4 linked regions of the Saccharomyces cerevisiae S288C genome follow. The gene in region 4 interacts genetically with the main gene of each other region. Each region holds a gene or a part of one and is shown on either strand. Other genes may lie near its edges. The genes, in order: OCH1, ERG2, KAR4 and KSS1.

The links.
Region 1: of KSS1 (region 4) and OCH1, extra expression of one is lethal in a mutant of the other (dosage lethality), as found in Saccharomyces cerevisiae (one study listed by BioGRID).
Region 2: mutations in KSS1 (region 4) and ERG2 together harm fitness more than expected from each alone (negative genetic interaction), as found in Saccharomyces cerevisiae (2 studies listed by BioGRID).
Region 3: mutations in KSS1 (region 4) and KAR4 together harm fitness more than expected from each alone (negative genetic interaction), as found in Saccharomyces cerevisiae (2 studies listed by BioGRID).

The regions. Positions count from the first base shown.
Region 1 is NC_001139.9:424,862-428,864, forward strand, and holds OCH1 (initiation-specific alpha-1,6-mannosyltransferase), read right to left. Parts: upstream 1,944-4,003; coding exon 501-1,943; downstream 1-500. Other genes in the region: YGL039W (carbonyl reductase (NADPH-dependent)), read left to right, coding at 1-146; PNC1 (nicotinamidase), read right to left, coding at 2,436-3,086; VIR1 (Vir1p), read left to right, coding at 3,740-4,003. UniProt on the Saccharomyces cerevisiae protein: Mannosyltransferase involved in outer chain elongation of asparagine-linked oligosaccharides of the type Man(9)GlcNAc(2). Adds the first alpha-1,6-mannose to the Man(8)GlcNAc(2) and Man(9)GlcNAc(2), but not Man(5)GlcNAc(2), endoplasmic reticulum intermediates.
Region 2 is NC_001145.3:665,871-668,705, reverse strand, and holds ERG2 (C-8 sterol isomerase ERG2), read right to left. Parts: upstream 1,170-2,835; coding exon 501-1,169; downstream 1-500. Other genes in the region: TOM complex pore protein TOM40, read right to left, coding at 1-214; DNA repair protein RAD14, read left to right, coding at 1,662-1,688, 1,773-2,835. UniProt on the Saccharomyces cerevisiae protein: C-8 sterol isomerase; part of the third module of ergosterol biosynthesis pathway that includes the late steps of the pathway. ERG2 catalyzes the reaction which results in unsaturation at C-7 in the B ring of sterols and thus converts fecosterol to episterol.
Region 3 is NC_001135.5:25,868-29,454, reverse strand, and holds KAR4 (Kar4p), read right to left. Parts: upstream 1,527-3,587; coding exon 519-1,526; downstream 1-518. Other genes in the region: PEX34 (Pex34p), read left to right, coding at 2,096-2,530; PRD1 (metalloendopeptidase), read right to left, coding at 2,549-3,587. UniProt on the Saccharomyces cerevisiae protein: Component of the MIS complex, a complex that mediates N6-methyladenosine (m6A) methylation of meiotic mRNAs and is required for initiation of meiosis, progression through the meiotic divisions and sporulation.
Region 4 is NC_001139.9:573,517-577,039, reverse strand, and holds KSS1 (mitogen-activated serine/threonine-protein kinase KSS1), read right to left. Parts: upstream 1,643-3,523; coding exon 536-1,642; downstream 1-535. Other genes in the region: YGR039W (uncharacterized protein), read right to left, coding at 1,841-2,152. UniProt on the Saccharomyces cerevisiae protein: Together with closely related FUS3, KSS1 is the final kinase in the signal transduction cascade regulating activation/repression of the mating and filamentation pathways, induced by pheromone and nitrogen/carbon limitation, respectively.

The sequences.
Region 1 (4,003 bases), 150 kb from region 4:
GTAGCGGCTCAACCTTTTTGACAAAAAACTGCTGCAAGTGCGACAACCGCAAAACCAAAAATTTATTAGGATTCCAATTTAATAAGTTCAGAGATTGCATTGTCGATACTGCCTCGCAATTACTAGAAGTTCAAAGTAAAAGCTAAAATTAAGCTTTCGAGAAAAACTTTCTTTTAACCCCTCTAATCTAAATATAAACATATAGCTTATAGAAATGAATGAATATTTTAAATAGTTACGGATACAAAGAGTTCATTATAGTGCGGGCAGTTAGTACGGTATCGATTTATCATTGGAGATCTGCAGTGTTACAGAAGCACTGCTCACCAGTTGTCTACGGAAGGACGTTGAGATAGTTTTACCACGTTTGAGCTAAAAGTTTCTACCACAAGAGCCTTTATTTGCACATGGCAGTGAATGCATGATTAAGGATATGAAGAAGAAAGGAATAACTAGGAATAAATTTTATTTAGAGAGGGTATGATGAAAGGAGAGCCTCGTTATTTATGACCTGCATTTTTATCAGCATCTTCTTTCCAGCTCCCGCTAAACATGTGCTTTACAAAAGCCATTTTGTCGTCACTAGACTGGGCGCCCATCTGCCCCACATCTGGTGAAAAACTTGTTATTGGTAGAACCATCACATCATCAACGATAACTGGTTCTTTCAAAAAAGAGAAGAATTCCCAGGGCATTGAATTTGACGATTGCAAAGACTCTGATATTTTCTTATAAAATTTTCTTGTTGATTTGGACAGCGTATCGTTATCAACATCTTTTGCTGGTGTGGTGGCACTCTCACTACCTTCTTCGTCGTTCTTGTTTAGGTTTGGGTTGATTAACAAGATATCGCTATTGTATCGGAGCACATTGTTCATGTATTCGAAAATAATGTCGGAGAAAATACCTGGACCCGTCCAATTCATTATATCTGAGCCATCAACATTTTTGTTATTTTTCAATTCGGAGTGTTTGTAGGTCTCATCATGACGTCTTTTGTGCCTATAGTTTACGTTGTAGTCTTCTTCAAATCTTGGATCAATCATTTCACTGACAGGAACTCCTGGGTTTTGTACGCTCGCCAAAGTCGTTGCAGTAATATTTAAGATCAATTCTCTTAGAATTGGGTGACCTGGTTTGGCTTGGATAGTCCATTGACAAAACTGGATCCTACGAGCATACCATTCACTCCAATCATCTCTGTCCGGATCTGCCTCAATGCCGATGACCAAACCTGGCTGGTGTGATATCTCATCACTTGAGAGAAGTGAGGGCTTTGAGTTCTTATAAGGAATAGGTTTATTCAAATCTATTATGTTGTTTAGCCATGACTTATTCTGAGAAGGCCATGAATCAATTGGCTTCAAAAGCATAGTATCCATATCTGAGTAAATACCACCTCTTGCAAATAATAATAGGTACCTTAAAAAATCTGCCTTTAGGATATTTCCAGGCATCAATTTAAACGCTTGGATGACTATCGGAACGGGTGCGTAAAGATTCTCCAAAAAAGGGATAATAGAATCATCCGAAATCAGAGAATATTGGTAATCCGGTGAATACGAACCAGACCATGTTTTTTGATAGGTTCTGAACGAAGAGGGAAAATTCTTATCATCTGCGCCGACTTTCCAGGTCTGCCACACCCTTTGCGGGATGGGGGCCTGAGAGTCGTAGGGAAACGCAAACGATAATTGATCACGTAAATTATGCAATTGATTTTTTTTCTTGTTAACTGTAATTTGTTTCTTCAAATTTATATCTTGTGAATGAGAAGTCGTAGGGAGAAGAGTTTGCTTGAAATCATCTTTGCTAGGGTAAAACTGAGAAAGCAGCCTTTTGTTTGACAAGTGAAATGTCAACAAAGAATAAATAAGAAGTACGGTTACGACTATTGTTTTTGATTTCCTTGTAGCGATCAGGTGGGACAACTTCCTAGACATGATCTCTTCTTTCTTTTACTTGCTTTCTTTTTCCAAATTGCTATTATTGCTCTTGAAATGAAAACGGAATCAAAGAACTAAAACAACCTATCCCTATTAAATATAAAAGGATGCAGATGGGGAGAGAGAATGTGGATTGGCGAGAAATAATGTCGGTATTCGAAGAAGGCAGAAATACTAAAGTGGCTACCAAGCTACCAAACTACCTTAATGCAGAAGTTTTGACGTTGCTGTCCCTGCAACGTGAAAAGTCCAAAAAGGCGCGTTTAGTTGAGGCCCAGCCAAATCTTTTCGCGGTGGGCCGGCCAAATAGTTTAAGCAATTTACCCAAAAAAGAATAAAGAGAGGCGTAAAGACGTTAGTTAATATTTTATTATTCCTTCTCCATATGTCGGAATTCGGTGTACATACATATATATAGATATTGTTATATAGATTTGTGCATTTGCAAGCCACCCTAGTTCATCAGGTTGAAGAAGTATTATTCAGCTCTTATTTATCCACGACATTGATGTTGTGGGCCTTCAACTCTTCCTTAACCTTATTGATGACTTCGGGATCATCGCTGATGGGTCTTGTGTAATCCAGCAGGACAGTGGTCTTATAACCTAGTTCTGCAGCGGAAATGGCGGTGGCTTTGACACAATACTCCAAAGCTACACCGACAATGTAAACCTCGTCTGTATGATGCTTTTCTAAGTACTTGTTCATGTCGGTCTTATGGAAGTTCCAGATGTCGTGGAAGGCGGAGTAGTATTCACGGTCAGTCAAGAAACCCTTGTCGACAATCTTAATATGCTTAGTGACCACTTGGTCCATTATTTGGTCAACCAATTGACTACCCCAGGTGTTTTTCACACAGTGTACGGGCCACAAAATACCCTCTTGCGTGGAATCATCGCCTGGCCTTGGAGAGTGGTAGGTGTATGTTGAATAGGGTTCTTTATCTTTATGGTTCTTTGCGAACGAAATATGTCTGGAAGGGTGCCAATCTCTGGTGACCACAATCCTGTGCCAGTCTCTATCAGCATCTTGCATCAAATCCGAGATAGGATTGATTAATTCCTCACCTTTTGGAACAGTCAAGGAACCTAAAGGTGAAATAAAATCATTTTGCATATCAACAACAATTAAAGTCTTCATTTTTGTACTGTATTTTATTCTTTCTAACAAAGATATAGATAATCGTAAAAGAAAGTTTTGTTTGAAGGTTTCCTCACCTATTGCATCCAACCAGGTACCAGTTAAGAGTACATTGTATATGAAAATATATATATGAGTAATATATATATATATAGTTTTATTAATAACTATTAGCACATCATAATCGTATCTGGAGACACATACATAGTGGGCCAAACGGAAACCCCTGCCCCTTGAAGAACTTTTTTTTCATAATTCACTTTTCCAGTACGTAACACCACGCGGCGCCCCTTTGTGGGGCCTGCCCCTTTTTTTTTTTCTTTCTTTTTTTTCGGAAACATTCCGCGAGATTTCGGCACGTCCCAAATGATATCGAGCTAACACGTATAAAGCGATAACGTATATAACGACGTATGATTTTAGCAACGGAAGACGTTAACAATGACATATGGATATTTATTTATATATATAATATAAAAATTTCATTACCCTGTGTGCCACCTTGATCCTTGACTTAATATATTTTTTTCTGCTTGGATCTCGGCGGCAGTTTTTTCTGTTTCATATAAGGAGGATCGTAGGGAAAGAGGAAAACAAAAGGCATAATTAACCAATAGCAACAATATAAGCAGTACAGAACCCTCACCACCAGAATGCAGAAGTGTGCTGGCCATGCACCACTGGTGACTGCAGCCTCGCGGGTCTCCCAAGACACCGTAGACGCTCTTTTGCAAGCTATTTTAAAGGCCTACCATAAATTAGCTTCGATCGACAGTCACATTAATGATCCTGTTGAAATAGCCTTCAAGCTCATAAACTCTTTTAAGTATCTGCCAATTTCAGGCTCTTCTGTAAAAGATTTTGAGTCGGAACTGCGGGAGTTAGACGTTTTTTCTCCCCTTTTGCAGTCAGCCGTT
Region 2 (2,835 bases), on a different chromosome or scaffold from region 4:
GGGAGACTTCCTTATTCAGGTTTTCCACGGTACCGGGATTGACCAGCTCCAAAGATTGTCTGTGAGAATGCAATTGTTTGTACGTATCCACAACAAAGCTAGATATTGGGTTTGAGGAGAAGAAATTCCCCTTGGATTGCTTCGCAGTCAAAGGAGAAAGGGCCGGGATAGTGGGAATTTGAGAGGCCTCTGCTAATGGAGTTGGTGCAGACATGATTCACGTCGGTTATTGGTAGTCTTTTATTGTTTTGCACGATGGTTAAAAGGCCTTATACGCATACACCGCTTTCAAAGAATTGAAGATTGAGTTCATGTCCACCAAAAGACGCCTTTTTCACTTTTTGCAAACGCCGAATATATCCGTCGTCGTAGGTGATAAAAAGCTAAAGAGAATATAAACAATAGATAATAATAATAATAATAATAATAGTAATAGTAATAATAATAATAGTTATATTATAATGGACTACCGCATGACTGATTTCGTGAGGTCGGGCAGCTTAGAACTTTTTGTTTTGCAACAAGTTCTTACCCATGTCCCTGGCAGTCAGGTAGACAGTTCTATATAGAGTGTATAAATCAAGAGTACTGGAGAAAGTGTCCAAAAACCCGAATGGCAACATACATGGAATCCAGCCTTGAGCCAATTCAAGGGCAAAGGAACCACCTGGCATGCTGTATTGCTTGGCGTATCCCTTCTTCAAGTGATGAGTCATACCAGGAGTGTAAACTTCGGCTTCAGTGGCATATGGCAATGCTGCGATTTGCGTACCATGTAAGATGGTAAAATAGTCGTCAGCAAAGTGAACACCTGTGTGCCCTTCAGTACCAACAGCGGTTCCGAATAGAATTAAGTACTCGGATACGGAAGCGTGTAGGATGATCATTTGGCCCATCGCACCACCAGCATTGTTGAAGACCCATTCTTCTTTGACGTACCTGTTGATGTATTCGTCCCCGTAATGAGAGGCAAGTGCGTCTCTGACATCCTGTAACAGGTCTTCAGTGGATAAACCTTCTGCTGCGTTGTGTTTGCTAATCACCGAGTTACATATTTCGTTCAAAGTTTTTGGATCGAACATGTAATTGGTTGGCAACCAGGTAGTGAACAATACGTTCATAATGTAGCCTACAACACCAATCAACAAAAGGAGTGGGAAAAACTTCATGGCTATAATGGTCTGGGCTAGTCTTAGTTTGATTGAGCGACAAGAGAGATCTGAACCCAGTGTCAAACGTTACCGCTTCTTTCTCTTATATACCATGGCGCTGCAGATCTATCCAAATTCTTCCATACTGAAAATCATCCAAACGAGAACGATAGCACCGGTAGTTTTCCTTGCGGCTTATACGAGGGCCGTGGTTCGATTCTGCCCTGGAGCGTAAGGGCAGGAATGTGCATTGCATAAGATCATAATGGGATACTTCGTTGATAATAAGCAGAATCAACATAGCAGACTGCTAGTGGCATACTCCACAACCCTTGTTTTTTTTTTTTTTTTTGTTTGAATAACTGTACTTCTATAGAAGCTCTATCTACAGCATGTTTGACGTTTGCTAAGTTGTAGGGAGAAAAGAGGAAAGTGAAAAGAAGGTAAGGAATTTATCGGAACTAGAAAAAGAGTTTGGATCTTCGTAGTGAAGGTATCGAACGTAACGCTATGACTCCCGAACAAAAGGCCAAACTAGTATGTGTGAAAATGATTCTGTGTTTGTATTTTAACCGTGGGTTTCTTTTTACTAACAATTTAACGATGAGATGAGCTGTGCAGGAGGCTAACAGGAAATTAGCAATAGAACGGTTAAGAAAAAGGGGAATACTGAGTAGCGACCAATTGAATCGAATAGAAAGTAGGAATGAACCTTTAAAAACCCGGCCTCTCGCAGTTACTAGTGGCAGCAATCGGGATGATAATGCAGCAGCCGCAGTACATGTGCCAAATCATAATGGACAACCGTCTGCGCTTGCTAACACTAACACTAACACTACTTCACTTTATGGTAGCGGAGTAGTTGATGGAAGTAAAAGGGATGCGTCGGTACTCGACAAAAGGCCAACGGATAGAATCAGACCTAGCATAAGGAAACAAGATTACATTGAGTACGATTTTGCCACCATGCAGAACTTGAATGGTGGTTATATCAACCCTAAGGACAAGCTTCCAAATTCTGACTTTACCGATGACCAAGAATTTGAATCTGAGTTTGGATCTAAAAAGCAGAAGACACTACAGGACTGGAAAAAGGAACAACTTGAACGGAAAATGCTGTACGAAAATGCACCTCCTCCAGAGCATATTTCAAAGGCGCCGAAATGTATTGAATGTCATATTAATATTGAGATGGATCCTGTGCTACATGATGTGTTCAAGTTACAAGTTTGTAAACAGTGTTCTAAGGAGCATCCAGAAAAGTATGCACTACTGACGAAAACAGAATGTAAGGAAGATTACTTTTTAACAGACCCCGAATTGAATGATGAGGATCTCTTTCATAGACTAGAAAAGCCGAACCCTCATTCGGGGACATTTGCAAGAATGCAACTATTTGTTAGATGTGAAGTGGAAGCCTTTGCGTTCAAGAAATGGGGTGGAGAAGAAGGTTTAGATGAGGAATGGCAACGTCGTGAAGAAGGAAAGGCTCACAGAAGGGAGAAAAAATACGAAAAGAAAATCAAGGAAATGCGACTGAAAACAAGAGCTCAAGAATATACTAATAGATTAAGAGAAAAGAAGCATGGGAAAGCCCATATTCATCATTTTAGTGATCCAGTTGATGGAGGTATTGATGAAGACGGTTATCAAATTCAAAGAAGAAGATGTACAGACTGCGGGC
Region 3 (3,587 bases), on a different chromosome or scaffold from region 4:
TAAACAAAAAACTATGATAAAATATTTCTAAAAATCTAATTGGAAAACAAAAAACTATCCAAAACCCTGGGCAAAATAATTATTTCGAATAAGTACCTCGACTTCAAATCAAAACAAACAAACAAACAAGCAAACAAACAAATAAACAAACAAATTCTCTGTTCCTATTTTCTTCCTCTTTGTTCTGCACTTCCAGCTTTTTATGCGAGAACATCGTGTAAACTTCCTATTTAAGTAATTACATGGCTGAAAAAGTGAACACGCTAGAACACGAAAAGACAAAAAAGAAAAATGGAAAAAACAGAGGAAAATCAAGTAGAATAATGTTTATTTACCTTTCACTCAACTGTATCTTTTTGTTTATTTACTTTTCGAGTTTGCATAATTGTACTGAATCAATCCTTGCGCAATTTGGTTTTGAGAAGAGTTTCCAGTAAAATAAAATGCAAAATTATTGTTTATATACTTATTTACTAGTATATTTAATTGAGCTAAGCAAGGATTTATGTGTTGATGCTTTATTGTGCTTTTTGTACTGGACTTCTTGGTCTTAACAGCTCAATCTCATTTTTTAATGGGATATTCGAACCTAAATTAGCTATCTCTTCTTTATATCTCTTGGGTGAGAAGTTATCCAACATAACATCTGGGCTCACTATAACCCAGCCAGGTCTTACTTTGACGGGTGTCTCGTAACCAGTCCTTGCAGGAATAATATGTAATCGTCTAGTCGCGGTAGAGAAGTTTTCTGCAATACGATACAAATGGGATGGTACAGCACCATTAGTGGTGTCCTTCGTTTCGATACTCAAGTCAGTGTCTACGTTACAATGAATAAGATGTCCATCTGTAGACCTCCTTACTGTACCTGTGATACACATCCAACAGTGCCATTGCATTTTTTCCATCAACGTTTCATCGTCCTGATCTAAACCTGGATAAAACGGTGATTTCTTGTCAATAGGAACAAAAACCAATTCTTCACTTCTTCTAAACTTTTTAGCCCATATTTCATTATTCAAAAGTTTAGTAAGTTCATTGATTTTTTGAGAATTGGCCCAGATGAACAGGAAACCTGGTTTGGAGATCAATCTATCCAATGGCAATTGGGTTAAAATTGGGTAAATAAACTGATTTTCTGTTAAGCAGCCAATCATCACCACGTCGAAAGTCAAATTTTCGTTCTGTATCCAGTGATTCAACGTTGGAACAATGGAATCTATTCCGATTTTACACCCAAATGGCGTAGTGGCAAATTGATTTATTTGTTTAGCTTTCGCCTGAAATAATTTCTGAAGTTTTGGATAGCCATCAACCCTATTCTCAATATTAGTAACATGCTGTTGCGGTAGCGACTTCCCATGAATGTAGTTATTCGAGTAATCGTTTGTATGGAAGTCTCTAGAGGGTTTGAATGATACGTGTTTAGATTTCATTTCTATTGTTTCCTGGTTTGGCCCTTGCAAGTGACTGTTGTTGATGTGTCTGCTTTTATTCTGGTCGTAAGTTGGATCTTGGAATGCCATCTTAATAGTATTCTCACTTCTCTTTTGTTTTATAATGGCTGTTCTACTTTCTTCTATGTCATAATATTTAACAAAAAGTCGCACTTGAAAAGTTGAAACAAGTTATGTCGCAAGATGAAACTCGGAAATGACGAAGTGTGAAACAAGACTACAGAGCGACAAAAACCAAGCTGCAAATATACAGTAATGAAACTGAAAATATGTCCAGCAAAACTAAAATTGTTTGAGCTCGATACTAACTTCCTTCTTTTTTTTTTTTTTTTTTTTTTTACTTTTGGCTATCCTATTGTAAACGCTGTTTTACCCTTTTGCAAAGCATTTGATCACAAGATATATCCCAAAAACTATTTTTTGACTTAAGGCATTAAGAGGAGATAAGGCTCCTAATGTCACATCCAAAAGCCAAAGTATGGGACAAGCATTTCGCCCCTTTGCTCTTATTGCTTCTTGTTAAGTAGAAAGGGTAATTATAATCGAAAAATTCGCGGGAAATGATTTCAATGTTCGACTCTGAGGTAAGAAGTAAAGAGGAGATGAATAAAAGTAAAGGAAGAAGAAAAGAAAGTTGAATGGTTTCGAAGAAAAATACGGCTGAAATCAGTGCAAAAGATATATGGGAGAATATATGGAGTGGTGTAAGTTCGCTGCTTGATTTCTTCGCAGTATTGGAAAACCTAGGCGTGGTCAACGATAAGTTATATGTAAGTGGGCTATTACGGAAAGTTTGGCTGTGTTACTCGTGCATTTCAGTGATAAAATGTGTATGGAAATTAATAAAATTATGCAAGGTGAAATTTAAAATCGATCAACGATTGGATGGGGAGGGAAATGGTCTAGTAAAGGATAAGTTGATAAACTTCAAGAAAAAATATAACGAACATATCAGACATATTACTGCTGCTTTACTCCAAGATTTGAGCTATTTAATGGTTTTAATCTATCCAGGGACGAGGTTATTTAAAAGATTATCTAACATAATAACACTTTGTAGAATAATTGTATAATTTTATGCTTGAACGAATTTAGTTCTGTAAGCCCAGCTCCTTCAAGAAAGCATCCTTAGAAGGTTCCCTACCCAAAAATTCTTTCAGATTATCATTAATATCATAAAGGCCACCACGAGCCAACACAATATCACGGTATTGTATCCCATTCTTGGCATTTAACGGATCCTTAGCGAATTTGGTGTGATACATATCAGTTGCAAAGACTTCCGCCCATAGATAACCGTAATAACCGGCAGAGTAAGAGTCTGACATTATATGGCCAAATGAATCATAACCCTTGGATAACGTACCACCATTAGAAATCAAAGAAATATCCTGTCTCAATTGGTTCCAGGTATCGCAAATTGACAGGTTTTGCAAGTCTTTACAAGTATGTACTTTCATATCAAATAACCCAAAATGTAATTGTCTTAGAGTGAATAAAGCACCATTTACGTGTTTAGTTTTGATCAATGAATTGATCAAAGATTCTGGAATTTTTTCGCCCGTTTTGTAATGTGATGAGAGGTTGATTAATTCATTCTTATTCCAAGTCCAAAATTCTAACATTTGGGAAGGTGCCTCCACAAAATCCCATGGAACAGATCCGGGGCCATTAAACCTCGATTCCTTGTTTTGTCCCACCAGGTCATGGATACCATGGCCCAATTCATGGAAAAAGGTCACTATTTCGTTATGCTTCAGTAGAGAAGGTTTATCCTTCGTAGATTTGGAGAAATTGCAAACCAACGCAGTAACCGGATACGATCTTGTGGTGTCATCAATCATGAATGATGACGATAAACCAAAATTGGCAGCGTGGCCATATTTACCATCACGAGGATGTAAATCGAAATAAATCCAACCAACAAAGTTTGGAGACTTTGGATCATCCATATTCCAAACGGCGATTTGTTTGACGTCGTCATGCCAAACAGATTTGTTTTGAGAATCTTTCGTCTCGATAAACTTCAAATTAAACAATGTTTCGTATATTTCCAGCATACCAGTAATCGTAGCCTCTAGTGGAAAATATTCAGAAATCTTTTCTAGGTCCACATTGAAGTTTTCTAAC
Region 4 (3,523 bases):
ACTTTCTCCCTTTTAGAGAAATTAGCTTTTAGACTACCTTGGCTGGGTATTAGTTGTGAATATTTGGTAAATATGGTCAACTAGAAAACGAATGCGAACATCTAGCCAGGAATAAACAAACCCAGTAAACAAAACTTCTACTTAATACTTAAGAATAGAAAGCACAATGCCAAGACTTACTTGGGAGCCCATTCACTGTTGAATAGTGCTGGATAAAAGGTGTTGATATCGCCTCTTTGATTACAGTCGCGTCAGCTCTCCAAGCACACGCGATGGCTGGTTTTTCTCTGCATTTCCCGTTTAGGCAAAGCAGTGAAGAGGCTCATGAAGCCGCATTTCGTGTACTTCTGCTGGCGAAAAAAAAAAACTTGTTGCCGTGGCGCCATTTCGTTCCTTGCATTTTTCCATTGGCATGCATCGTGCATATGTGAGTTGAAGTTTCTTACTTACATATTGACCTACAGACCACAACGTGTCACTGCTAAGCTGAATATAGGGAAATTTTAGAAGTATGGCAGAAATGTTCTTGTGAATACTATTCCATGGTCTTCATTAGTTCATCGTAAAGCATGTCTTTGAGCATTTCTATGGGCACTTCTTCCTCCTCTTCCGGACGCATTATCTTGTTATCCAGTTTCCAAAATTCATCATCCAAATTAAGTGGAGGATATTCCGGCTCATCACTTGGGTCATGGTACATTGCCAGGTAAGGGTGTCTTAAAGCTTCTGCTGCGCTTATTCTTTTGTCAGGATTGAATTGAAGCATTTTGTCTAGTAAATCTATCATATCTGGATTCAGATCGGTCTTTGACCAGACGGTCTCCCATGGCAAGGGTGGCCTCATAGGTAAGTTTGCTATATACTCTTTAGCCCTCTTGGATTTGATCTGATTAAAGTCTTCGAAAGATGGAGTTCCCAAGACTTCTAGAATTAGCCATAATTGATGATGATAGTCTCTGCCTGGGAACAAAGGCTTCCCGGAGACCATTTCAGCCAAAATGCATCCGCATGACCATATATCCATCGCAGTTGTGTACTCTTGAAAAGTTAGCATTATCTCGGGTGCCCTGTACCATCGCGTTGCGACGTACTCCGTCATGAATCCTACCAATGTTTCTCTTGAATCGCTACTGCTAGCTAAACACCTCGCTAGTCCAAAATCGCAGACTTTGAGATCACAATTGGAATTTAGTAACAGGTTTGATGGCTTTATGTCTCTATGGATAACTTGTGCACTGTGAATAGACTTTAAGGCTCTGAGGATTTGGTATGTAAAGTATTGAACATGGTCATCACTTAAAGTGGAAAACCCGCTATTCTGATTATTAATTACTTTTTGTAAATCGGTTTCCATCAACTCTTCGACTAAATAAACAGCGTTTAGTTTGTCTATGGATACTGGCCTTACTTTATCCAATATACTTATTATGTTTTCGTGTTCATGGAAATACCGTAAAAGCTTGATCTCACGTATAGTTCTTGTAACAAACAATTTTTTGCTAAACGGTTGTATTTTCTTGATAGCTACCTTTATGCCGGAAGGCTTATGAATTGCTGAACATACTGTTCCGTACGCTCCCTCACCTATTAAATCTACGAGTTTATATTGGGAAGGGATATCAAAAGTTATGGTTCTAGCCATCTTTGAATTGTTGAAAGAAAAGTGAAGAAAAGATACTTTTTTGTTGAAATAACCTTTTCTATCTTTAAAAGATGCTTTCTTTAAATTGCCAAATTTTTAGTCGGCTTTTGATCTGATCCAGTGGAAAAGAGGAAAAGAAAAAAAAATACGAAAACAGTTCGGGAAATTTAACGACTGCAAAGCACAATATGTAACTGTTCAAGTCTGGCTTCTGGTCAGATAAAGTGCAATATCTACAGATTGGAAGTACTTTGGGTGTCTTAATAAAAATACATTATATATAGAAATATGCCTCGATCTGTAAATTTCTAACAGCTTCACAGCGCGTTTTGAATGTGAAAAAATCAGGAATGTGGAGGAAAGATGTTCAAAAAGTTCGAATTTGAAGAGCATACTGCTCAAACGGTTGAGGAATTCAAGGTAATCTGAGGCTTCATACATAATAAGTAGCCAATCTTTCTTTCCCCCAAGTAAGTAGCTCAGTATTACTAAGCCGGTAAAAAATAACATCTTTCATTTCTTTCACCAAGGGGAAATAGTAATATACTCATATTTTGGCTGGACTCTCGTAATCTGTCAAATTTTTTTCGTGCCGATTTCTAACTTAAATTTAGTAAATAATGTTAGTATTTACTTTTCAATTGTAGATCTACCTAGTTTCAAGATTATGTAGAAAAGAATGACAAAACATAAATACTGTTGGAATAAAAATCAACTATCATCTACTAACTAGTATTTACGTTACTAGTATATTATCATATACGGTGTTAGAAGATGACGCAAATGATGAAAAATAGTCATCTAAATTAGTGGAAGCTGAAACGCAAGGATTGATAATGTAATAGGATCAATGAATATTAACATATAAAATGATGATAATAATATTTATAGAATTGTGTAGAATTGCAGATTCCCTTTTATGGATTCCTAAATCCTCGAGGAGAACTTCTAGTATATCTACATACCTAATATTATCGCCTTATAAAAAATGGAATCCCAACAATTACATCAAAATCCACATTCTCTTCATGGTAGCGCCTATGCTTCGGTTACTTCTAAGGAAGTCCCATAAAATCAAGATCCGTTAGCCGTTTCAGCTTCCAATTTACCGGAATTTGATAGAGATTCCACTAAGGTTAATTCTCAACAAGAGACAACACCTGGGACATCAGCTGTTCCAGAGAACCATCATCATGTCTCTCCTCAACCTGCTTCAGTACCACCTCCACAGAATGGACAGTACCAACAGCACGGCATGATGACCCCAAACAAAGCTATGGCCTCTAACTGGGCACATTACCAACAACCATCTATGATGACGTGTTCACATTATCAAACGTCACCTGCGTATTATCAACCGGACCCACACTATCCGTTGCCACAGTATATCCCACCACTGAGTACTTCCTCACCTGATCCAATCGATTTAAAAAATCAACACTCTGAAATACCTCAAGCTAAGACAAAGGTGGGAAATAACGTCTTACCACCACACACTTTAACATCAGAAGAAAACTTTTCTACATGGGTTAAATTTTACATCAGATTTTTGAAGAACTCTAATCTCGGTGACATCATTCCAAATGACCAGGGTGAAATCAAAAGACAAATGACTTATGAAGAACATGCGTATATATACAATACCTTCCAAGCATTTGCCCCATTTCATTTATTGCCAACATGGGTAAAACAAATTTTAGAAATTAATTATGCTGACATCCTTACAGTCCTTTGTAAAAGTGTGTCCAAAATGCAAACTAACAATCAAGAATTAAAGGATTGGATAGCTCTTGCCAACCTTGAGTACGACGGAAGTACATCTGCTGATACATTTGAAATTACAGTCAGTACGATCATTCAGAGGCTAAAAGAAAACAATAT